Linked DNA regions of Caenorhabditis elegans. The protein of the gene in region 1 interacts with the protein of each later gene in a pairwise test. Each region holds a gene or a part of one and is shown in the gene's direction. Other genes may lie near its edges. The genes, in order: lec-3, F26F2.3, ZK666.8 and hsp-43.

What was found.
Region 2: the proteins of lec-3 (region 1) and F26F2.3 interact in a two-hybrid assay, tested with the Caenorhabditis elegans proteins (one large-scale study listed by BioGRID).
Region 3: the proteins of lec-3 (region 1) and ZK666.8 interact in a two-hybrid assay, tested with the Caenorhabditis elegans proteins (one large-scale study listed by BioGRID).
Region 4: the proteins of lec-3 (region 1) and hsp-43 interact in a two-hybrid assay, tested with the Caenorhabditis elegans proteins (one large-scale study listed by BioGRID).

What each region holds. Positions count from the first base shown.
Region 1 is NC_003280.10:9,988,765-9,995,193, forward strand, and holds the start of lec-3 (Galectin), read left to right. Parts: upstream 1-2,395; coding exon 2,396-2,475; intron 2,476-2,598; exon of another isoform or gene 2,599-2,604; coding exon 2,605-2,665; intron 2,666-3,492; exon of another isoform or gene 3,493-3,573; intron 3,574-3,690; exon of another isoform or gene 3,691-3,811; intron 3,812-4,855; exon of another isoform or gene 4,856-5,169; coding exon of another isoform or gene 5,170-5,202; intron 5,203-5,378; exon of another isoform or gene 5,379-5,511; coding exon 5,512-5,600; intron 5,601-5,654; coding exon 5,655-5,742; intron 5,743-6,221; coding exon of another isoform or gene 6,222-6,258; exon of another isoform or gene 6,259-6,429. UniProt on the Caenorhabditis elegans protein: Binds galactose.
Region 2 is NC_003283.11:20,564,338-20,569,317, reverse strand, and holds F26F2.3 (Transthyretin-like family protein), read left to right. Parts: upstream 1-2,763; 5' UTR 2,764-2,776; coding exon 2,777-3,196; intron 3,197-3,241; coding exon 3,242-3,502; intron 3,503-3,693; coding exon 3,694-3,753; intron 3,754-3,797; coding exon 3,798-3,908; 3' UTR 3,909-4,029; downstream 4,030-4,980. Other genes in the region: F26F2.4 (DUF305 domain-containing protein), read right to left, coding at 2-23; F26F2.9 (Transcription termination factor Rho), read right to left, coding at 1,402-1,575, 1,669-1,743; F26F2.13 (DUF305 domain-containing protein), read right to left, coding at 4,652-4,813, 4,861-4,935.
Region 3 is NC_003280.10:10,490,683-10,496,165, reverse strand, and holds ZK666.8 (non-specific serine/threonine protein kinase), read left to right. Parts: upstream 1-3,031; 5' UTR 3,032-3,080; coding exon 3,081-3,104; intron 3,105-3,152; coding exon 3,153-3,630; intron 3,631-3,677; coding exon 3,678-3,862; intron 3,863-3,911; coding exon 3,912-4,175; intron 4,176-4,222; coding exon 4,223-4,447; 3' UTR 4,448-4,504; downstream 4,505-5,483. Other genes in the region: ZK666.14 (Transcriptional regulator), read right to left, coding at 593-1,047, 1,264-1,339.
Region 4 is NC_003284.9:6,231,721-6,238,004, reverse strand, and holds hsp-43 (SHSP domain-containing protein), read left to right. Parts: upstream 1-2,461; 5' UTR 2,462-2,488; coding exon 2,489-2,614; intron 2,615-3,068; coding exon 3,069-3,143; intron 3,144-3,192; coding exon 3,193-3,779; intron 3,780-3,828; coding exon 3,829-3,935; intron 3,936-4,069; coding exon 4,070-4,144; intron 4,145-4,407; coding exon 4,408-4,497; intron 4,498-4,556; coding exon 4,557-4,678; 3' UTR 4,679-4,854; downstream 4,855-6,284. Other genes in the region: C14F11.4 (AIP3 domain-containing protein), read left to right, coding at 5,033-5,095, 5,308-5,430, 5,477-5,545, 5,645-5,749, 5,794-5,937, 5,986-6,078, 6,123-6,253.

The sequences.
Region 1 (6,429 bases):
GTCGGCGACCACCAATGCCACCGGCCCCGAAAAATCGAAAAAACCGGTTTTCAGGCACGAAACGCCCTGAAAATATTTATGTGAAACATGGGGGGCCTATTTTGTCGTTCTGAAGCGAGTTTTCGTCGGAATTTTATGAGCTTTTCTGCTTCTTCTGCTTTTTGAAATGTTGGAAATAGTTGGCAAAAGTGACACTTATACTGCTAGGCTTTTTTCAAGAAACCGATGACACTGAACATGTTGAGTGTGTTCCGTTTTCTTTGTCATTTTACGACTGTGCGAATTTTTTAGTAATTTTAACTTCTCAACGTCACCTCAATTTCCAGAAACAGGATTTTGAATTTTTTAGATTCAGTTCCAAATTTCTAGATTTTACTGAATTGAAACCGTTGGAAATTTTCACCGTTTTTTTTTTCAAATTTGGCAAAATGCCAATTAGATAGACTCCTTCCTTGAATCGGCTCGGCCAAAATTTTTAAAATTTTGAAAGATCTTCAAGTTTAAGAATAAAATATCAAATATAAATCGATGACCGAGTTTTTTTCGAGGCCAAATAGCAAAAGTCGATCCCTGATTGTTGTTTATTTTAAAATTCGGAAAAAAAAATCTACTAAATTTCAAAATATTGGAATAGAAAATAATAAATAAGTTGTAGTGAGTCATTGTCTCAAAATGCTTATACTTGGTTTTTATGTATTTTTCTTTCTTTTTCTGTTAATCACATTCAATTATTTTTCTTTTCTATTGTTCATTTTCAACCTTCCCGCTGAAATTCTACTATCACACTCTAGTTTTTAAAATTCAGAAACATCGAAAAATGTGAAAAACGTAAGAGTTTTTTCCTTTAGAAATTAAAACCTAAAAGAAAAAAAAAAACGACAACTGCAACATATCGGATATCTTTTCTCACTCACTATCCAAGACCTCAATTGAGTCATATGTTCTTCGTTAACGTTTTTTTTTTTGAAATTTTTGAGTGATGGAAAAGAAAAGCATGAAAAAGAGGCAAATGAGTGATCGGAGAGCAAGGATAGAAGAGTAGGAGGAAGAGGTGGAGTAGTAGCTAGGAAAGAAATTGCAAAAAAAGTGAGAAGATACATTATGTTGTATATATATTTTTTGTCTTTCTCTTTTCTTCTCACCAACTATATGTATACAGTTGGTATAAATAGTGACTGAAATGTGCAGTTTTTACAGTTCTCTTGCAAATTTGCATCTGGATTTTTCTGAAAAAATTGTTTGTGTAAAAAAAGCTGTACATTGTATTTTTTGCGGCAATCTGGATGATTGCGTTTTTGTTTAAAGTAAAAACTTTTTGAAATTTTTTCACTTCTTTTAAACTGTAAACCATGGTTCCAGCAAGCACTTCTACTAGCGTGAGCATACTAACTCTGCCTAAAAAAAACGTAGGTTTTCCAAATCACTTTCGAAATCCAAATTAATTTCAAAATCTAATGACATATAATTATTTGTCCAACTCTCTCCTTATCCCTCCTGCGTATCTCATTTTCCACACCCAATAATTTTTGTCTCTGAGTTCAAAAAAATGAAACGTGCGGGAAGTAAATAAAAAAGATCAGCAGCAGTGGGAAAAACCCCTCGCCACCTGTTAACCTCACAATTTATCAGTTTTGATTGATTTTTATTTCTTGTGTTGTTTCTGATATTTCGACTCTTGTCGGTGTTAACTTGAATTTAGTTGGAATTATGTGAGTTTTGGTTGTTCAATTTTATATATTTTTGTTTTTTTTTGTAGTTTGTTTCACTTGATTAATTTAGAAGCTCAATCTTTATGCCCACTTTGTCAAATTTTCCCAATAAGGATTTCTCGTAAAACTCCAAGTCATACAGATTCTCAGAAGTAATAGTCTTGATAACACTTTATCCCTGTTTTAAAACCTTAAAACTAATCGAAAATAGTTCGAGCTACGGTTCAGCCGCTTTCTGACAAATTGACAACTTCCAAAATCATTTTTTGCATGAAAAATTCAGATTCCAACAACTGGTATAATTTTATAACATTTCTCGCAACCAACCAAATCAAATCATTTATAATTTTCCCTGCATCCAAAACGATCCACGGGAATTCATTCCCATAATTCCATGACTCACACTTTTATTTCCCGCCTATTCTTTTTCTACAATCTATCACATTCTTTCTTCCTTCCATTCTCTGTAACAATTCAATCAAATATATACTATTTTTCTTCACACAAAACCTCGGATTGTTTAATCTTCCTTTTAGTTCTCGAAACTCTTTCGAAAACGTTTATGATGTTCAAATATAGTTTTGATACCAGCGTAGCCATAACCTCTTCTTCAAAACCAACACAAATATTGTACATCTCACATAGGGGAGAACATCGCCAAATTTGAACTATTCTCTCCTATAAAAATGTTTCGACGAAGATCGAAAAGTCTAGCAGTTACAGAACCTACTACTAATGGTACTGTAAAGAAAAAGAGAGGTCATGGGTATGTTGGTACAAACGAAAATTTTTTAGAGCAAATAATTATGTAATTTTCCAACTTCTGTACAACTTCTCACTTTCCTTAACAGCTATGAAAAATATCATAAAATATTTCAATTCCCAATTTTTTCAGGACCACCGTTCGACTCCCCGTTTATCTTCGAGAGATCATCATGGCCGAGCCGAAATCCTTCGTAAGTTTTTTTTTTCGATCATGCAATCTTTCCGGTTTTTGTTTTTTTTGTGTGCATGTGATTCTGTTTTTTGTTTCATTTTTGAGTTTCAAAAATGACAGTTTCCTCCTAATTTGGAAATTCTAACACAAAAAACATTGCGTGTTGTTCTGTTCTACCCCATTACAGTCTTCTCGGAAATGCCACCCCCTTATTAACACAAATAGCCGACTTGGTGAACCATAAAATTGAGGTTTGAATCTTGAAGAAGCACGATGGAGCTTTTTATGTGCTCGAACAAGAGACAATTGTAATTTAGTGTGGGGGTGGTGGTAAAAAGGACATCAAAGATTGAATTTTCATAAGTGGAGAAAGCTTGGTCTGAAAATGTACGCTTGAAGCATTTCTGGAAATTATGTAAATAGAAAGAATGGGAGTAATAAGAAGAAATTTCAGCTAGCTTATGAATTGTAAAGAAGTTACAAAGAACACATTGTAAATTGAAAACATGTTTTTTTTTGTCTGATTGTGAAATTATAAAAATTTCAGTGATATTTTTAGGGAGATATATGAGCTTCAAAGTTTGTTTTGTGCTGGAATACTTATTTCGCTGTCAAAGTAGAACAAAAAGCTGCAAATAGAATATGAACTGTAATTGGAAAAAAAAACATGCTATGCGATGTTTACACCCTCCATACATTCTAATATTCTCCACTTTCAAACAAATCTTCACTTCATTTTAAACTTTTTTTTCTCAAAATATCCACTTCCCAGTTCAAGTTGCTATTTTTAGTTCGAGCCGAGCTCCCATAGGAGCTTATCCTCCTCTTGTTAGGTTATGTGACCCGGGGCTCATAGGAACCACGTCATAAATCTAAAAGCCTTTATGTGCACGAACCGTTAGCACAATCTTCCCCCTCTTTTGCAGAAAAAGTACAATTGAGTCGGTGGAAATTCAAATTAATTCAAATATTTTTGCTTCAACTTTTCTTTTTTTAACTGAAGCCAAAACTGACACAGATAGACATACACATCCGCCTCCCCTTATTTCCATAAACATTTTATGTCCTTTTGCTCTCTTACTCGCTTAGATTTCTCACTCCCCCTTTTGTTAGTTTACCCTTTGATTCATGCTCATTTTTCTTTTTCTCCAAAAATTTATTTGACGTAGACAAATTGTTTTATGCTCTGTGCTCCGGGAAACTTTAGGCTTTAATCCGGTGTGTGTGTGTGCAACTTGTTGCAACAAAGTCAAAATCAGATGCGAAACGGAAATTCCGGGTGTAATCCAATATCAGGCAGAGAAAAATTGAGCAGGAAAAGAAAAGACAAGGAGGATTTCCCCCTCTTCTTTTTGTTTATTTTCTCCTATTTCAAGATTAGTGTCAGTTTTTCATTGTGGGTGGCAGAATCTGCGCTCTATTGGCAACAAGAAAAAGTGAGAATTTGTTGGAATTGAATAATTTTATATTTATTAGCCCATGAGCATGAACTAGGTTTTTGCAGCGGGCATTTGGAAATCTGGAAACAGTTTTTGAACTATTATTAATAATCACAAACGAACCCCATGATTGTTAGCAACTGCCTATTACCAAGTTGCGAAACAATTTCATTTTTGGTCAAAAATTACGCCTCGACACGACTGAAAATTTTCTGAGCAATGGAATATGCGTCATTAAAAGTTTAATAGTTTCGGCTTCCTGTTCTTAATGCTATTTTCTCCTTAACTGCCAAATTTTAAGAGCAAAGTCGATAAAAATTGCGGAACGAACTCTTTAAATGCGCAAGTGAAAATTTTTCGATCGCGTCGAGACCATTTACCGTTATTTTGCCTCAAAAAATCGGATTGTTACACAACTGGATAATATAATTTATGAACAACTTACATAACTTTCTTCTATCTTGCTCTAACGCCATGAACATTTTGAACCTAGTTGGTAGCTGATTTAAACTTTTGAACTTTGCGCCACAAATAGTGACGTATAGCTGTATTCTGCCAAGATTCATGAAAGTTGACATGAGAACTTTACTCTCAACTCAACTTTCCAAAAAACGTTTTTTTCAACAAAAAGTCACATCACACTTTATGTGTATTTTTCTTTCGTTTTCCAACTTCAATCCAGCTGGCAAGTGGCCAAGTGTCAAAACAATAGTAGCCTCTTCCCCTTGAGAAATAGGCCACGCCCACATTTTGGTGGCTCCCTTCCCTTCGTTGAGCCACCGCCCGCCCCAGCATCTACTCTTGAAGCCTAGTTGCTGCTTCACTTTGTCACCCCCACTTGTTCTATCTTCTACCCGAAGCTCCCTTCGTCTAATCCGCCAAACTGTTGTCGATCAAGAATCTTAATTTGGGACTTGGTGACCATGGTCAACTGAGTCCCAAAACGTGGCTTCAGCAATATCAGAAAAAGAACCAAAAAGAGCAGCCGCCGTGTCTGCCGAGTTGCTCGACATCCAGCTCTTGCTCGACGAGCACCTCATCGTGCTACCCACTGGGAACTTGCTACGAAACGATTGGAGATGATATGCCGTCGGTTTGGCACTGTGCCAAATATATCGTAGGACTTTTATTGGGGGTTCTGGGTGCAGATTTTCATCGTCTTCTTGTAGGACCGTGAAAATCTGAAATTCTGTGCAGTGCTTTTTCTTGCAGTGAACTTTAGTTCTAGTTTGTCCAGTTTTGTGTCAGTTCAGTCAGTTTCAGTTTCTCTTTTTTTCAGTTTTTCAGTTTAAATTTCAACCAGTGATGTCCAATCTAACCATCAAGTTTTTGAGTGGCTCCCGATGTTTTTTGTGAAACCGAGAATTTCGGGAATAGCTCAAAAACAAATTCCAACAACTCAAGTTAATATTTCGTATTATTTCAGAACATCCCATACCGTTCCAAGCTCACCGAGCGCATCGAGCCCGGACAAACTCTGATCATTCGTGGAAAGACTATCGATGAGTCCAAGAGGTAATCGAGATTTTGACAATATTCATTCGAATTCTAACCCGAAGAAACTTGCAGGTTCAACATTAATCTCCACAAGGATTCTCCAGATTTCTCCGGCAACGACGTGCCTCTTCATCTTTCCATCCGTTTCGACGAGGGAAAGGTAGGTCATTTGATGTTCGAGCTTCTGACTATTATAGGAACTAAAACCATTAAAACACATACATAAACACACAGAAAAAACAAAGTTTCCGCCCGAGATATACATAAGGCTCGATCAAGCGTATGAGCTATAAAAAATTGGCGCTTCTTTCCATCTTCTCCATCCACATAATGGGTTTAACCGGGGTGACATGAATAGAGGGAGCCCAATGGGACCCAGAAGCTCTAGCTTTCAGACATCAGGAAATTGGCTTGCTTTTGGCTTCACATTTTCCCGTTTCTTCTTACTTCCTTCAAGCTTCTTTTTCTTGATTTCTTTTTGATGATGTTTACCCTTTCGGCATGTGTGAGGGATGATGGTGGTGAGCCGAGAAAATGATTGATCCGTGCTCATTGCCTTGCCCTTCACTCACTCAAATAGACAGTGAATCTGTGTCAGGTGATCCCACACACACACACACACACTCACTCCGTTTCCAGATCATATTCGAAAAGTGGCAGCGAGAAAAAACGCTGAGATCAAGTGTAGGTTTTGAATGTTCACAACTCCCCCTTTCTGATACACCCTAGAATATATGTGTATTTTTTGTGCATGCATCATTTCCACCGAACTTGTTTTTTTAAATGTATAGATCAATTTGGTTATAAAATTTTAAAAATCGATTATCTGGAGTGGCTTCGGTCGACA
Region 2 (4,980 bases), on another chromosome or scaffold:
CGCAGTGTATTGTTGTCACTCATAGTGTTGGGTTTGGAATAGTCCTCTGAAAATGTTTTCTCATTTTAAGAAATATAATAATCCCCAGAAAAATTGAAAGGCATCATCGAAAAAATTCAGAGCACATATCTAGATTAAAATATTTAATATTAAAAAAACAATAAAATATAAAAAATGAGAAGCAAATCAGATAGAATATGATGCTCCTTCGACTGCAATCTTTTTTATACAAAAAATGGCATAGCAATTCCTTATAAAAGTAAAAAAATTGCTAATAATCATTTCGTCCTGTCAAGGAAAAGTTTTGAAAGAAATGTGCTCTTGAAAGTGAATTTTCATATTCCTCAGATTTCATGACGCCTCGCGGTTAGTTTTTTGACAGGTTATGTTTCTTAGTTCTATAATTTTTATTGAAATGCACTTTCTTCCGTATGAGGAATTGTGTTATCTTTCAATAACTTGGAGAAATATTTCAGTTTATAGGAATTATCTTATCAGTTCAGTATTAATAGAATGTCGGTAATGCTAACTGTGTATTTTGCTGTGATATGAATTGTTTGGAGTTCAAAGAGATGTAAATTTATTTAAGGACATAAGGAAACAGAGATTAACATGAATTCATGCCTCAATATGATGGGAGTTATGAGAACTTGATATGATTTTTCAAACTGACGGCAAATATTTTGTTGACCACAATATATTGGTACAAGTAGCACATTATGCTTACATTAGGCTGGGCTTGATTGCTGTTTAAAAACACACTGAAGACGTTTATTGTATAATTTTGATTTTATTTTTGAACGTGGCAAACCTTTCTTGCACCATATTATACTTTAAAAAAATCACTAATTTCGATATCTCCCAAATTTACGTATTCAAAGGTTTCATAGGAAACCGTCAAATTTGCTTTTTATGCATGCCATTTAAACGCTATTTGTTTGTTCAATCAGAGTAAAACATTTGATTTGTTTTATTATCCGCCATTTACAGACAATTGTTCAGTATTCAGTGCAAAACCAGTTTAAAAACTCACTCTCTCGCTCATGAGAGACGCAGAGACAGATTATTACTTTTTTAAATGTAATTTTTTTTTAATTGAGAGAGGCCGTGTTACACAAGATTAAAAAACACGCCAAAACTGTGTTTATTTTAAAAATAACGAGATAGATATAGGTAGTATATAGCTAATATAGCTAACTTTAAGAAAACTTGATTAAAACAAAAATGTAATAGATGAGATTTAAAATTGCAATAGATAAAGAACACCCAAAACAATTGTCTCCCTTGTTTTCTTCTTCTGATTTTAATGGAAATGTCTACGGGACTCTCCTCCCTTTGTGCTTCGGCCGAATTGTCAAAGACGTAATAATAATAATCATAATAATAATAATAATTGATTTATTATTTTTTCCTATTTGAAGTATGAACAACATTGAATGAACAATTATTACAATTGAAAATAAAAATATGATAACCAGCATTGACTTCTTTGAGATTATTTTCACTTCGAATCGCGTTTCGATCATCTCTTGCCTGGTCGGACAATCTTGCATTGTAGTTCATCTCCATCATTCGCTGAAATATAATACTTGTGGTAAATTATTAATTATTGATTATTAGGTAAAGTATTAAACATTATTAATTAATAGAAAAAATAAATTTAAAAACCTTCATGAAATCATGTTGCCGGGAATTTTGCTTATCCAGCATTTCCGCCATCCGCAGTGTATTGTTGTCGCTCATTGTTTGGGTGTTGGAATTGTTTTCTGAATTATGCTTTACATTGAAATGAATATAACAAAATTCCGTTTAATTGTTTAAAAAAACACAATTTTTAGTAACCATCATTTAAATATAAAGTTTTAGTGTTTTACTAGAACATGTTGCAGGAAAATTAATGATACAAATGGGGTAAAAAATAAAGAGAATATAATGCTCCCTTGAGTGCAAGCTTCTTTTATACTGAGAGGACACATCAATTCCTCATGAATAATCAAAATATTGCTAACAATTAATTCCTCCTGTCAAGGAAAAGTTTTGAAAGAAATGTGCTCTTGAAAGTTAATTTTCATGTTCCTCAGATTTCATGACGCTTCGCGGTTAGTTTTTTGACAGGTTATGTTTCTTAGTTCTATAATTTTATTGAAATGCACTTTCTTCCGTATGAGGAATTGTGTTATCTTTCAATAATGTGGAGCAATATTTTTATTTATAAGGAATGCTCTTATCAGTTTAGTATAAATTGAAGAGCGGAGACCACGAATGTTCAGTTGTCTTACTTTCATTTATTTTTTTGAATTTTTCTCCGGCCAAAAGTATTTAACAAATAAAAGTTCTCTTGAAAGTTAATTTTCATATTCCTCAGTTTTCTTTTTCTATTTTTATAATTTTATTGGAAAATACTTTCCGTCCTGTTCCTAGCCCGTATAAGAACCTGTGTTATCTTCCAATAATTTGGAGCAATACTCCAGTTTATGAGGAATTTTCTTATCAGTATTAATAGAATGTCGGTGATCAGGAACGTTTAATTTTCTTACTGGCTAACGATTTTCAAAACTTAATTATAAATTGCAAGATTTTTTCACATTTTCTTTTTCAAGGTTTTTAAATTTTCAAACAAAGAATGCAAAACCTCAGTTTGTTTGAAAATTTTTGAAAGTGCTGGTTTTCAGTGTTCACAAACTTTGCCGCTCGCCAATATTTTCCAATTTTACCAATCGCCAAACTTGTCGTTCAGCAGTCACCCCTGTTCCTATCAACGCTGTTTTAGATAACAATGGAGCAAAACCATGATTCAAGAGGGACGGATCGCATAAGATTGTCCAATGTGCAGCAAAGAGATGGAAGTGTCAGTCATTTTTACCAGCATCAAGAAGGAACGGATATTCAGGTGCAAGTAAGAAGAGGCAGCGCAAAGTTGGATGGTCAGCGTGTACCTTTTCATAAACTCACAATAACCCCCGACATTCCTTATCGTGACCTCGGATTACGTCTAAAAGTAACTGGCAACAATGGACAGGGCATCTACCTTCGTAATGTTGAAACAAGCAGACATTCTGACCAAACCAGAAGCTCAGGAAGAGCACATACAGATGACCAGCGTTATTCGTTCACAATACCATCATACTATCCTTACCCTACCGGAGTATGTCTGAAAATTCCATACTCTGCCAAAGCTAAGAATGTTCAAATCAAGGTATTTGTAATAGTTAGAATGTAATTTTAATGGTATTCGTTTCAGATGAGAAGGAGTAAATCTCACAACTACAGAGAAGCTGATATAGTGGGACTCAATACGCCGAATCAACACATTGAAGCTCGTCGATTGAGCTTTGAGGAGTCTCAGCGAAGACTGCAAGATGAAGCTAGAATAGCCGAGCAAAGAAGATGGGAAAACACGCGGAGACAAAACGACCAAAGCATCAGAAATGTTTATGGGAGAGAATATGAAGCTGATAGCAGAAATAGTGGTGGGCACCATGAACGAAATGAGCAGCGGAGGGTAAGAAACAATTCGAGAATAGCCTCATAAAATTCTGTTAGCATCAAGGTCAGCCTTAAAAAAATCAGCCTAAATCTGATGTTTCAGTTTTTTCGACAAATCGTGTTTCTCTATTTTCTGAACAAATAACAATCTCATCAACAATCTTAACATTTCAATTTTTGGAACGACATTTAAATATAACTTTCCAGGAAAGGGAATGCATTATGGATCGGGAACCACGTTATACAAACGGATTCGATCAAATTGAAGTGAGTTTCATAAAATTGATATAATTATTGAAATAATTGTTAAGAGAACTATGAGAAATAACCGTGCGGCATTGGAGGCACAACACGCGGAAAGTGATGCACAGAGGAGGATGAGAGAAGAAGAAATCAAGAACACTTTTATTGGAAGATTTTAGTAAATATAAATCAATAAATAACCTTTTCTGGACTTTTTTCCTCTTTTTGATCTATTTTCTGTGTAGTTTTCATATGAGAGAATACGATTTTTAAATGAGAATAAAGAGGCAGTAATTCTAACAGTATATTTTTTGTGATATGGATTGCTTAGAGTTCAATATCTAGCAACTGCACGGTAGCACAGAAACTAGATGGATTGGTTCATGATACTCAGTCTGGAAATCTATATTGGCTACTATCTCGAAAACCATCACAAAATCGATTTTTCGATGCCTATCTTTATTTGTGATGAATTTTCGATTTTGTACTTCCTGGCCAAGTTATGCACGTTTATTCGGTGGAGCGCGTTTGCACCCATCTAGCAACTGAACCACCGTGACTGAACCACCGTGCGGCCGACACATCTGTGGTTCCGCGCCGCCCTACATTTCACGCCATTCAGATAAATGCGGCGACCTCATGGGAGTCATCATTCATAGAAAACCGTTGAATTTTTATGCCTTCAAACGATACTTCTTTGTTCAATCATTGCAAAACATATCTTTCCGATTTTATTCACTATCCGCCATTTACGGGCAATTTTTTTCCGTATTAAGTGCAAAATCGGTTTAAAAAACTCACAATCTCCCTCATATTGCGTTTTTTGTTTAACTTTATGAAATTAAGATAGACCGTATTACAATAGATTAAAAAAAAACGAAAAAAATAGATTTAGAGCCGCAAACAGTTGCCCGGCTTATTTTCATCTTCTGATTTTAATGGAAATGTCCACGGGACTCTCTTTCTTTTGTGCTTCGACCAACTTGTTGTAGACTTCTTTGAGATTATTCTCACTTCGAATCGCGTTTCGATCATCTCTTGCCTGGTCGGACAATCTTGCACTGTTGTTCATCTCCATCATGAACTAAAATAGAACTGTTGATTTACAGAAAACAATTTAAAAAACTCGACCTTCATGAAATCATTTTGCTGGGAGTTTTGCTTATCCAGCATCTCCGCCATACGCAGTGTATTGTTGTCACTCATAGTGTTGGGTTTGGAATAGTCCTCTGAAAATGTTTTCTCATTTTA
Region 3 (5,483 bases), 500 kb from region 1:
GTTTGAAAAAATTAAAGAAACAAATTATCACGAGGAAATAAAAACGGATTTCGGATTTTTCTGAAATCGATTTCATTTTATCGATAATGTCAAGCAGAAAATTATTTTACAAATTCTTGAAAAAGTGACAAATAAACTTAAAAACTTAAACACAAAACTTCAATGACAAAAACAAACAATATTTTCAGACATTTGGGCGTTAACAGGGTGTAAAAAATTTTAATGATAAATTACTTGTTTTGTTTCAGAAAGAAAAGTTGAGAGGGTCTTCGTTACTATTTTAATTTGATTGATTTTGTTGTTAAAGTACAATACACTTCGTTTCAAAACAATCTTCGTTTGACTGAAAATTCAAAGATCAAAACTTTATAGTTTTCGTCGGGAATTAAATTAATTAGTTAAAATTGAGTGAAAGATTTACTTCCGCTTTTGATTGTTCGTGTTCTAAAATATTTTATTTTATCCCCTAACATCACATAAATTTATACCTTATTCAAAACATTACTCAATTTTATTGGTAATAATTTCACAAATAAATGAATAAATAAATAAATTGCCAACTTATAAAATAATCAATTAAAAATAATTATGCTTATTGGATGTCCAGTTGTCCATTAATCAATGCATTATGTGAAACCAAGAGCCAGCGGTAGAATCTTCTCACCAAAAACGCTTTATACAATCCAGCAATAGATATTCCAAAAAAGAGATATGCAATATAGAGAGGCGTTGTATTGGGATATATTGATTGTGCAATAAGATTTGCTCCTGAGAAGAGTAGACAAGTTGACCATAATACTATTTCAACGTGTCTTAACCAAATGAGCATGTTTTCCACATGATAACGAATAGCCAAGCATGAAAGCGTTTGGAAGATATGAAAAACAATGGCTAATTCGATACAATATTGCGGGAAGTCAATCAACGCAACAAAAGATGCTCCGATTATCATCAGAGTCAGTATGAGGCACAAGTTTTCGGTGGAGATTTTGTTGAAAAATACGGCTGGTTGTTCTTTGTCCTTGAAGAGTCGAACATGTTGAGACACTGAAATTTATTAAATAAGTATTTAGATATAAGAGAAGGTCTATGTAGTTTTGCATAGCTTAATTCATCTTCCAAGAGAGAAACAAAAATTTTGAATTCACACACAGGAACATCAGAAATCTCACAGATCGCGAAAATGTATTTTGTTCGTGAGAGATCTTTTTTTTTCTTTGTTCTAGAGCACAGTATCACAACTGCCAAAAAAAAAACACTCACCGCTCTGGATTGAATCCCTTCGGTCCTCCACATGTTCCACAAAAGTGAGAACGGTACAGTCGCTAATCGTAGCCATTTTGCCTCCGATCGATTTCTGAGAGTCCACGTTGTGAACGGAGATTTTTTGGTTTGAACGAGAGAAATACAGAGACTGTTAAACGATATGCATGAAAAATAATAAAATGCATAACAATGGGAATACATTAAAAAAGATGTGACATGAAACGAGGCAAATCGAATTTCAAGCTACCATATTCAGAACTGCACACGGAATAAGATATTAGAACCAAGAAAGGAGAGAAGCTCACTACTTTCCAAAAGATGCATGCTAAATATGGAAAATCAGTTTAAAAAAAAAGAAACAGAATGATTGCCGTGGGCAAAGCAAAACATATCTGAAACTTGGCTGTACTTTTGAAATTTTTTGGAGTTTCTCGATTTGTTGTTGAAATTTTGAGAGCATTGAAAACAGTAGTTTTTGCAATCAGTTTACACGAACAGAAAAAAAGAAAATAAGTAATTTTCTTGTTAAAATTCGAATACTATTGATTTATTGAATGTTTTCAAACAGTCAAACAAAACCTGATCCCTTTTTGGGAATTGCCGATAGAGAATAACATGATATATTGCCTGTGATAGGCGATCAAAAAGTTGTTTCACTGGTGTGAATATATTAAATCTTAATGTGACTTTATTTACCTAATAGTTTAGTATTTAAAATTTTCATGAAAGCCTAAAAAAAACGGGAAAAGTTTTACGGCACTGTAAACTGCAAATTGCAACTTTCAAAAGTTTTTTCGAAGTTTTCAACAAATTAAATGATATTTTCTAATCGAACATGAATTTCTGTACCAAATTTTTAAATTAAAAAATTGGGTTATTATGTTAAAATCTCCAAGTTAACGTTTCAACCTCATATAAACAGAGCCACTTCTCTTGCCCTCTTACGCGCTAAACAAATCCTCAAATGTTTCTCCTCTTCTTCCCCTAAATTCTATATAAATATGTACAAGACCTACGTTTCCCCTATCCTTGAATACGGATCAGTCATATACTCCCCTCCACCAACATCTAAATTATCAAGCACACTAGAATCTCCCCTCAAATACTTTTCTAAACGGGTCCTACAGCGCTGCAATATTAAATACAAAATAAAAAATGCTCCACAAACACACAATGCTTTCTCCAAATCCTACGAAAACCGACTAAAAATTCTAGGAATTTCATCAGCCCGCTCTCTCCGCCTAAGAGCCCAACTATTGCTTCTATACAAAATTCTTACCGGCGCAGCGCACTTCCCAAAAAGCAGTGACTTTGTTACGCTTGCTAACTCGTCTCGTCGTCCGATGCTCATTAAAAATAAAAAATCCCAAATGTCGTAGCTTTTTCTCCCAAGTAGTGCCAATATGGAATAGCATTGTACGCAACTCTAGCTTTTTCCTCTCCCCATCACAATTCCTTTCGCTTGTTGATTGTCAAATATCTAAATTCTGATCTCTTTCCCTCTCACTTAAACTCGCGCTCTGTTGGGCCGAGTTTATTTTAATTTATTCATCTACACGTGTAAATATCATAACCGGTTATGTTTTTCTTATCATATTCTTTTTGTTTCCATGATGAATAAATAAATAAATAAATAAGCAATAATTTTTCCACTGGCCTTCACATTTAGAAAATTAATGTGACCGTGAACTCTCAGAATTTTCTTTCAAAGTTAGTAAAAGTACGTGGGAATCATCGGAATAAATACTGTAGACAAAAATATTTTAGTCATTTCTACATTGTAATCAAAGTCAAAGTCGTGAGCATTCATATAAATGATGAATCCGAAACATGTTGAGGTTTGTTCGCTTATTTTTTCAGTCTCAGACTAAAGATTGTTTTTGAAGGGAGCTGAAAAATCGGCCAAGTCCGCAGTGGCTACTGAGTTTTCGGCAAAAATGAGTAAAGAGGAGTCGACAAAGGAGTCTTCGGTATCCAAGCGAACAGTTCGTAAAGATCAGATAGTAAAACCAAACAATGAAAAAAGTGCGAGAAGTCTTAAATCTCCAACAAAACAGTTCAGTGTGGTGCCACGTTTGAAACGCCCAGACCCCACTTCTACTCCTTTGATGCCTATCGATGAGAAATTCAGAAAACGATGGCACATTGAAGGAATCATCGGTAAAGGTGGTTATGGCGAAATTTATTTGGCAATCGACATGAAATTGGCAGAAGAAGTGGCAATAAAGGCAGAACCATTGGTACGAAAAGGCAAAATTGCCAGGCGAATGATTTTGGAACAAGCAGTTCTCGTAAAACTCCAAGGGAAGCCTCATGTTCCTTGGATTTTTGGATCCGGTCACACAGAAAACTTCAATTTCATTGGTAAGTTTAGTCTAAAAACAAATTTAAAAAACATTACCTCGTTTCAGTGCTTCAACTGCTAAGTGCCAATCTTGGAGATATTCGTCGAATGAGTCCCACACGTAAATTGAGCAAGTCATCAGTTGGAAGAATCGCCGTTCAGGCCATTGCTGCTCTGCGAGATCTACACGACGTCGGGTATCTCCATAGAGATATTAAGCCAGGAAATATGTGTTTTGGTATCACTTCCAAAGTTGGTCTTGCAATAAATTTTCACAATAGATTCCATTATCTCGTTCCAGACACGTCATGTTTTGATGCTTCTCGACTTTGGTCTGGTACGTAGATACAAAGATCCAGATGGTGAATGGCGAACTCATCGGGTTAAAGCTGGTTTCCGAGGCACTCAAAGATATGTATCTACTCGTGTTCATCGTCGGCTCGAACAGACACCGACAGACGACATGGTGTCCTTGTTGTACACATTGATTGAGTTGCTGGCTGGAGAGCTTCCGTGGAGAAATATTGAAAACAGTGATGCCATCTGGAAAATGAAAGATGAATTGGTATGAAGCTATGTTTGGATCTTAATAATACTTTTTGTGGTTTGCAGCATCATGGCCAAATTGATCACTTCCATGAATCGTCTCAAGAGCTGATTGAATTTTCTCAACTCGTATCACGTCTCGACCCAATGTCTGAACTTCCGTATACTACTCTTCAAGCATCCGTCAAAAAGTTGTACCTTCCGAAAAAGTTGTCAGATCCGTATGATTGGGAAGAAAACTTCAAAGACGCCTTGTTGGAGAAGCCACGTTCTACTGAAGACAGCTCCTAGTACTTATTTTTCTTGTATTTCCATATGAGTTTACAATAAAAATTATTTTAGAATATGATTTTCATTGAATGATTTTGGGCAAATTCAAAGATCCGCTGTTTAACACTTTAAAAATTCAGTGTTGAGTATTCCGATTCTCAATCAAATTTTCATGTTTGGTGACCTCTTTTTAAAGAAAAGTTATAAACATTTGTGCGGGAAAATATGAATTTTTGTAGTGATTAGAAAGAAATAAAGAACTACTTAAAATGACACATTGTTTTTTTTATCTGCTAGACATTTTTCAAAATATTCGTTAGGTTTCCTTTTTTTTCTTTTTTTTTCACCTACTTTAGTCGAAAGGCCAAATTAAAACAAAAAATAATGAAAAATTGAGCAACAAGACAAATTAAATTTGAACTTTAAAAATCAAATAAACTTTCAGAAGCATGTCTGGAGCATGCCTGGTAACATAATAAGAATACAAATATTTTACTTCAGTTGCAAAAAATCAACATATTGACTGGTATTAATCCCTTTTTTTGCAAACCAGAAGTTTACCCATATTTTGTGTTTGTTGATGTTTCGATCTTTTTCGCTTTGTTTGGAAAACCGTTCCGTATCAAACAAAAAAAATGCAACATCAGCAGTTTACGAATTATCTGAAATTGGTGCCAGTACGTGCTCACTTCCGATTTATTTATGGTTAGAATGTATCTAGGATGATCTTCGTAGTTGTCTTGCACTACAACTGACATTAGCTATTATAAAATTGTGTTCAAAAATTTAGTAGAACCTAAAAAGTTTGTCTAATAACAAAGAAAGCTATTGAATGAAAAATCGCGAAAAAAATTGCATCTGGGTAAAAATAGTGATGTGACAGTTGACAATTTTCTCCGATTTCTGAATTTTTCTAGGAAGTTTTAAGTCTGGGTAATAGTTCGGCAACCACCATTTTTCCTTTTTTAAATACCCATAAAGGAATGATGGTTGTAGTGCCAAATTTGCAAATTCTTCGAGTGTAAGCTTAAAAACTACATTTCAAAATGCACTGCCA
Region 4 (6,284 bases), on another chromosome or scaffold:
ATGCCAAGCCAAAAATTTATCCAATTTTGAATAACACAAACAATTACAGTCCACTTTGTCACAACTATGTAATATGATGATTGGAAAATAATTTCTTCAGACAATTTTTGAGTAGTTCATCAAACTTGTCACAAAAATTCCTTTTTTGGAAGATTTTTTGACAACCGGAACAACCACGATATTGTAAATTTTCATGTGTTTCAAACATGTATTCTTTCAGTTTTGAACTAGCTACAAGAAACGTTGTGACTTTTGACCCGAAGTTTTATTTCAAAAAAAAACAAGAGGATATTTGGGAAAGTAATCAATTTTAAAATTTTAATAGAATTAAATTAATCTTACATTATTCATTTATTTATAGCTTTGGATGCCGGAAAAAGTTTTAGCTAGATTAATGTGAAGATGCACCGCAATTAAAGACGCACTTTGAATAGAGGGAGCAACACTTACGGGAAAAAACAAAAGTTTGATGAATCTAGAAATGAGTGTATTGTTAATGATTGAAGTATTTTACCAGTTTTTATGTTAAACCTGAATACACTTTTTGAAAATAGTTGGCGTAGACATCTTTCATTCATTTAAAATTTAATTTTAAAAAATTACCAATGTAGGTATTAAATTATAATGAATGCAGCTTTGTATTGAAACATTTGAAACAAAGACAAAATTCAAATTTTAAAAATTTACGTACAAAACTACATTTAATATTTGCACAACTATATTATTAAATTTTTAAATACTGAAATACAAGGAAATCAGTAATTTTTTAATACTGGTGTATAAAAGTTTTTTTCCAATCTAGAGTGAGAAGTTTCATCAGAAATACAATATACATACATGTTCACGTTTTTTGAAGTTTTTATGCATAAATTATTAATAACATTTAAATTTGTGGAAATTAAAAATTGGTTGGAACTAGCAATTCTCAAAATCATTTTTAAAATCATGAAATTCCTAAGCTTTCCGCGAAAAAACCTCAAACCATTTTTTACCCAAAATTAGTCATAACCAACAGTATTTGAATTTTTCACCCTTACTATTTCCTTCATAACTGTGTATTTTACTCACGCACAGGCAAACACTACTCTGAAAAGCAAACTGAACTCACACAACCGCCGTCACCACCCAGTTTTGGACAAATTTAGGTTTCAATTACAGTATTGGTTTAGCAAAAACCACGGAAAATGCGTCGAATGGATTAAAATTGCTTTTTCCCCGTTTTTTCTCCCAAAATCAAGCGTGGGCTGAGTGACAGAAAAATTATTCAGAATTTTTTAGAGTGCAGTGCGGAAATGATTTATGGTGCTTCAAAAAGAATTATAGGCAGAATGATTGAAAAATAGGAAAAAGTCAATTTTCGTTTCTCACAGAACAAACTATGAATGGATATTCAATCTCAACCAATTTTTTTGCAGTAAACGCAGTCAACCAGTTTCAAAAATTCCTCTAATGCGAAAAAATGTAATGTATTTCAATATCGTTTATGACAACACATAGAATGACTGTTCAGAGCGTTCCAAAAAAACTTCTGTAGGCGTTGTTCTATTAGACAAATGAGACCAAAAATGGTTCATAAAAAGCCGGTTTCGAAATATTTTCGAAATAATTGCAAAACTGTTGGAATAGTCCAGAAAGGGCGTATTCCAATCCATGTGATCACCCTATCCCTTTTTTCTTGTCGTCGTTCCTCCACTGATTAAATATCACATTGATCATCATCGTCCAACGTGAAGAAAAGGCGGGAGCGACAAAATGGAACTGCCTATGCCTCTCTCTGTCAATTGGTTCTGACTCATCTGAAATAGGGTAACTTTGACCGGCGGCCAACGCCCTTCTCTTTTCAAAATGGGTATATAACAACGCCAATGTCAATCGAATATTCAGAGCACACGACTCAGCTGTCATATTTTTTTGAGAAAAAGTGTTTTTATCTGAAATTTTCAATTTTCCGTTTTCAAACTTAAGTGACCCCTTCCGGTGAACTTTTTTGCCAACCGTCTTTGATGATTTCCATTCCGACCTCCGGTGCCCCCAAAATAACAGTGTTGACAGAGAAACACAGTCAACATTGGCAGACCTCCTTTTGATTGCGCCCCTCTTTTCGCATTCTAACTCTGTTCACGTGGTATTTACCAAAAAAGTCGTCGGTGGGGTCGGCGAAGATTCGAGACGAAGGTGAGAGCGGTTAAAACCACGCCCAAAACTCTCCAACCTTTCCATGCAAGACAGAACTTATAAAAGCTTGCAAGATTTGTGTTCCGGCTTTTAGAGGTTTTCACTTTTTGTTCACCGATTCTTAACTTCCATTAAAAATTAAAACTATGATAGCGCACATTGTGTGACATTGTGTTTTGGAACAAAGGTTAATAGTTATTAGGTTTTATGTTAAACTGTGTGTTTTTGTACTTCATCGTTTCATTGCTGCCGTTCCCCATAACCGGAATAACAATTATTATTTTACAGAAGTACCACACCCCCAGTTCAAAAAATGACTCTTGCAACCCGTCATGCCGATTTCACTCGTGACAAACTCTGGAAAGAGAACGACCTGTGGCTCGACGATTTCCGTGATTGGCCTCTTGATTGGCCAAAACCAAGGGACTTTTTCCACCGGGTATCCAATTCATTGGGGGCGGCTTATTAGTTTCCGATAGTCAATTGTTAGAAATAGGCATAGGGGGCTATTCATCCGCGACCTACCTCTACACGCTCTTCACTCTGGCTACTATTATATTTTGCCAGGCGTTTTACTGTTCAAATCCGGTCGTCGTCGTTGGTCTACTTGACAGCCCTACTCGAATTTACGTACATATACACCATTAAGAGAGTCAAATCTCACTGCTTTCCCCTTCTTGGTTTATTTGTTCCATGCCAACTGAAATTTGGCAGTTTTCACCAGTTTCCCCTAAATTTTCCTCAAATTCGAATGCTCTCTCCTTTTCAATCTGAACAAACATTTTGTTTTTTTTATCATTTGAAAAAAAAGTGAAAAGAGAGGAAATCGGCAGCCAATTTCTCCATCGATGAATCAGAATATTTTGTGAATCATTTTTTTTTTTGCATTTCAGTTCTCCCGTGACGTCGACAGTTGGTGGAAGGATTGGCCAACCGATTGGCCCCGTATGGACGCCGTCATGCCAAGAGTAATAATTCAAATCGCATGAACAGAAACACATCGAAACTTTTTTGCAGTTTTCCAGTCAACTTGATCGCATGGATCGCAACTGGAGGAGTGATCCATACTGGATGAATCTCTACCCAAGATGGGCTGAGCCAATCTTCAAGGAGGGAATTGACGTAAACTCCAATGTGGTTAATGATGATCGTAGATTTGCCGTTGACATGGATTGCTATCAATTCCGTCCTGAAGAAATTCAAGTGAAAACTCTTGATGATACTCTGATGATTGAGGGAAGACATGAGGATATTCGTGATAAAGATAACTTCACCAAAATGTACTTTGTCAGAAAGTACCAACTTCCAAGAGACGTAGACTTCAACTCGATTCAAAGTAGTATTGATGCCAAAGGACGTCTTCAAGTTGAGGCTGGAAAATTCAACAACATGGCATTGCAAGGTCGCGAGCGTATGATCCCAATCGAAGGAGCCGGGCACCATTCACCAAGATTTGAAAATGGAACACTCCGTTCGCAACGAGGACCAAACTCGCCAATTCATGTCCAGACTGAGCACGACGGGAGGAGCGTGTCTAGCAGAAGTGGATCGCGATTGAATGATAGTCCAGGATCGAGAGACGTGTATTCTTCTCATTCTTACAGGTAATCCTACAGATAATGATAGTGAGTATCTGAAAATAAAAATTTTCAGCTACCACCGCAGCGACTCTCGCAATCGTCTCTCCCCAAATGATGTTAACATCACTAGAAATGACAACCGAACATATAGCCCAGTCACTCCTCGTATCACAACAAGTGGTAAGTTTTTGAAAATACATAGTTAATTCAAATTTTCCAACTTTCCAAAACACTGCTTTCTGTCGTGTTCTCTTTCCACATTTCATTTTTCTTTCTATTTCTCTTTTCTATCTAGATCCCATAATTACCTTCAGAGCGGACAGTAACACCGGAACAGCGGTCGCCGGGTCGAAAAGCGTTCGAAACCATTCGAAACAATTTTGAGCGAGGTCATTTTTGCAATTTCGCACATCGCGTTTCTCTTTTTTAGTTAATTTACACACATTTCACACGAATTACTTCCCACTTCCCTCATCACAATTAGAGTAAACTTCCAACAGTTTACTGACAATACTTTGGATTTTCTCATCAATCACAAATTAACTACAACATTAACATGTTGCGCCTTTGGTCAAAAATGATCGTTAATGACACATTATTTGTTGAAAACTTGGATTTTGAAAATTCGAAAGTTTTAAAATTGGAATTTTAGGGTCATATAATACTGCTGGAAATGCAAATCTTCACGAGGAGCGTTCAAGCTCTCGCGCTCAGTCTCATCGCTCAGAAAGTCGCAATGGAGGTGAGTTTTCGCTATACATTGAGGGTTCTTCAATCAACTGAAGTGGTAAAATTTTTCAGGATACCGGGTCGAGTCACCAGTGAGCACTACAACTGGAATTCTTCGTAATGGAAACTCGGACTCACCAAACTCAACTCAACGCGAGTACCGATCAATTCAAATTCTCCGCAAGACATATTAATTGGACCAAAAACCTTATGCTTTTACTCATACCCGTTCTCCTTCAAAACTTCACAAAATTCTGCCTACAGCTTTTAAAACAAAACAATATATTTTCTGATGCTTCCATATACTCTATTCACAGCTTTTCCACTTTCAAATGTACACCTACTATTATACATAAACATTTATGCTTTTTGTTTACTAATTTTTAGTACGATTTTGTTGGTTTCAAATCTAGAACTTGAGGTGAGAAAAATATGATGATATAGAAAAGATGAAAAGAAAAATGATGGAGCCACAAAAAAAAACAACAAAATACAATCATTTCTCACTTTGATAATACAATCCATTCGACGCTTCTTTTCTATCGATCATGTCCCGTTATCCACCGCTGGTCACCAAAAAAGAAATCATCTACCGGCGTTTTATTGATGATGTGAGTTTAGTCTTAAAAACTAAAGAAGTTATTATTAAAATCGAATTAAAAACAACGATAATTTTCAGATATATATATATATATATATATATATATATTTAAAATGCAATTTAGAATAATAACTTTTTGATAATTGATTGCAAAAATTAAATTTTGACGAAAATTCTAAAACTCCAGTTATTCAAAGTACCAGAAACAATTTTTATTTGTAGCATAATGAACGTTTCGACAATATCGTGAGAAACCCTACATCATATCCTCCAAGAGCTCCAAAACCAGAACGTCCGCAAAATTTGGTTGTAAGTCACAACTATCACTCTGACGTGGAAGCTGAGGTGAGCATTACTCTGCAAAAAATTTGTTTCAACATTTTTGTTTCAGTACCAACTCTCAAAAATCAACAAAAAGTTGGATCGTATTATTGAAATTCTTCGGAGCCCATCGACCAAGGTATGTGCACAAACACAGTTGTATTGTTCTTGCACTAAACCGTCCGAAATGCTTACTTTTTATTCTTTCTTTCTTCTTTTTTTGAAACTTTTCATTCAGAAAACTTCCCAAGAGCCTCCAATCATTGACGTCGCACGCCAGGAGCAAACACGTCAATACAAGGATATTTGCGATAGGCTCGACAAATTGGAGGCTGAGTTAACTGTAAACATACATTGGAAAACAAACCAGAATACCAGATGTTTTAGGGTAAAACTCAGTTTGTTGCGCCTCTCCAAAATGAAATTTCATTATTGACAAATAAAGTTCACGAATTGGCCCAAATACAAGAGGGTTTAAGAGTGAAGCTAGTTTCGAGCAACATTGCAGGAGAAGACATCGATGAACTTTTGGTATGAAAGATGTTAAAAGGAAATCTTCAAAAAAAAACTTTTTTTCAGAAAGTCATCAATGAGACCAGAAGAGATATGGAAGAGAAAATTGGGAATATCAAGCAACTGAGTGACGGAAATTACATTCACCTGGAAGATAAAGTATGCCAAATCATATAGAACCCAACCATAAAACTTGTTTCCAGCTTGATGGATATCTTCGCAACCAGCATGGCATTCAACTCCAGGTAGACCATCTAATGCAGCTTCTGACTCATAGCTCTCGTCCGGCATCTGCTATTGGCTCAAGACCCGGTTCAGCTGCGGAAAAGATGAGGTAAATGATTGAATATATGCATTTATATGTA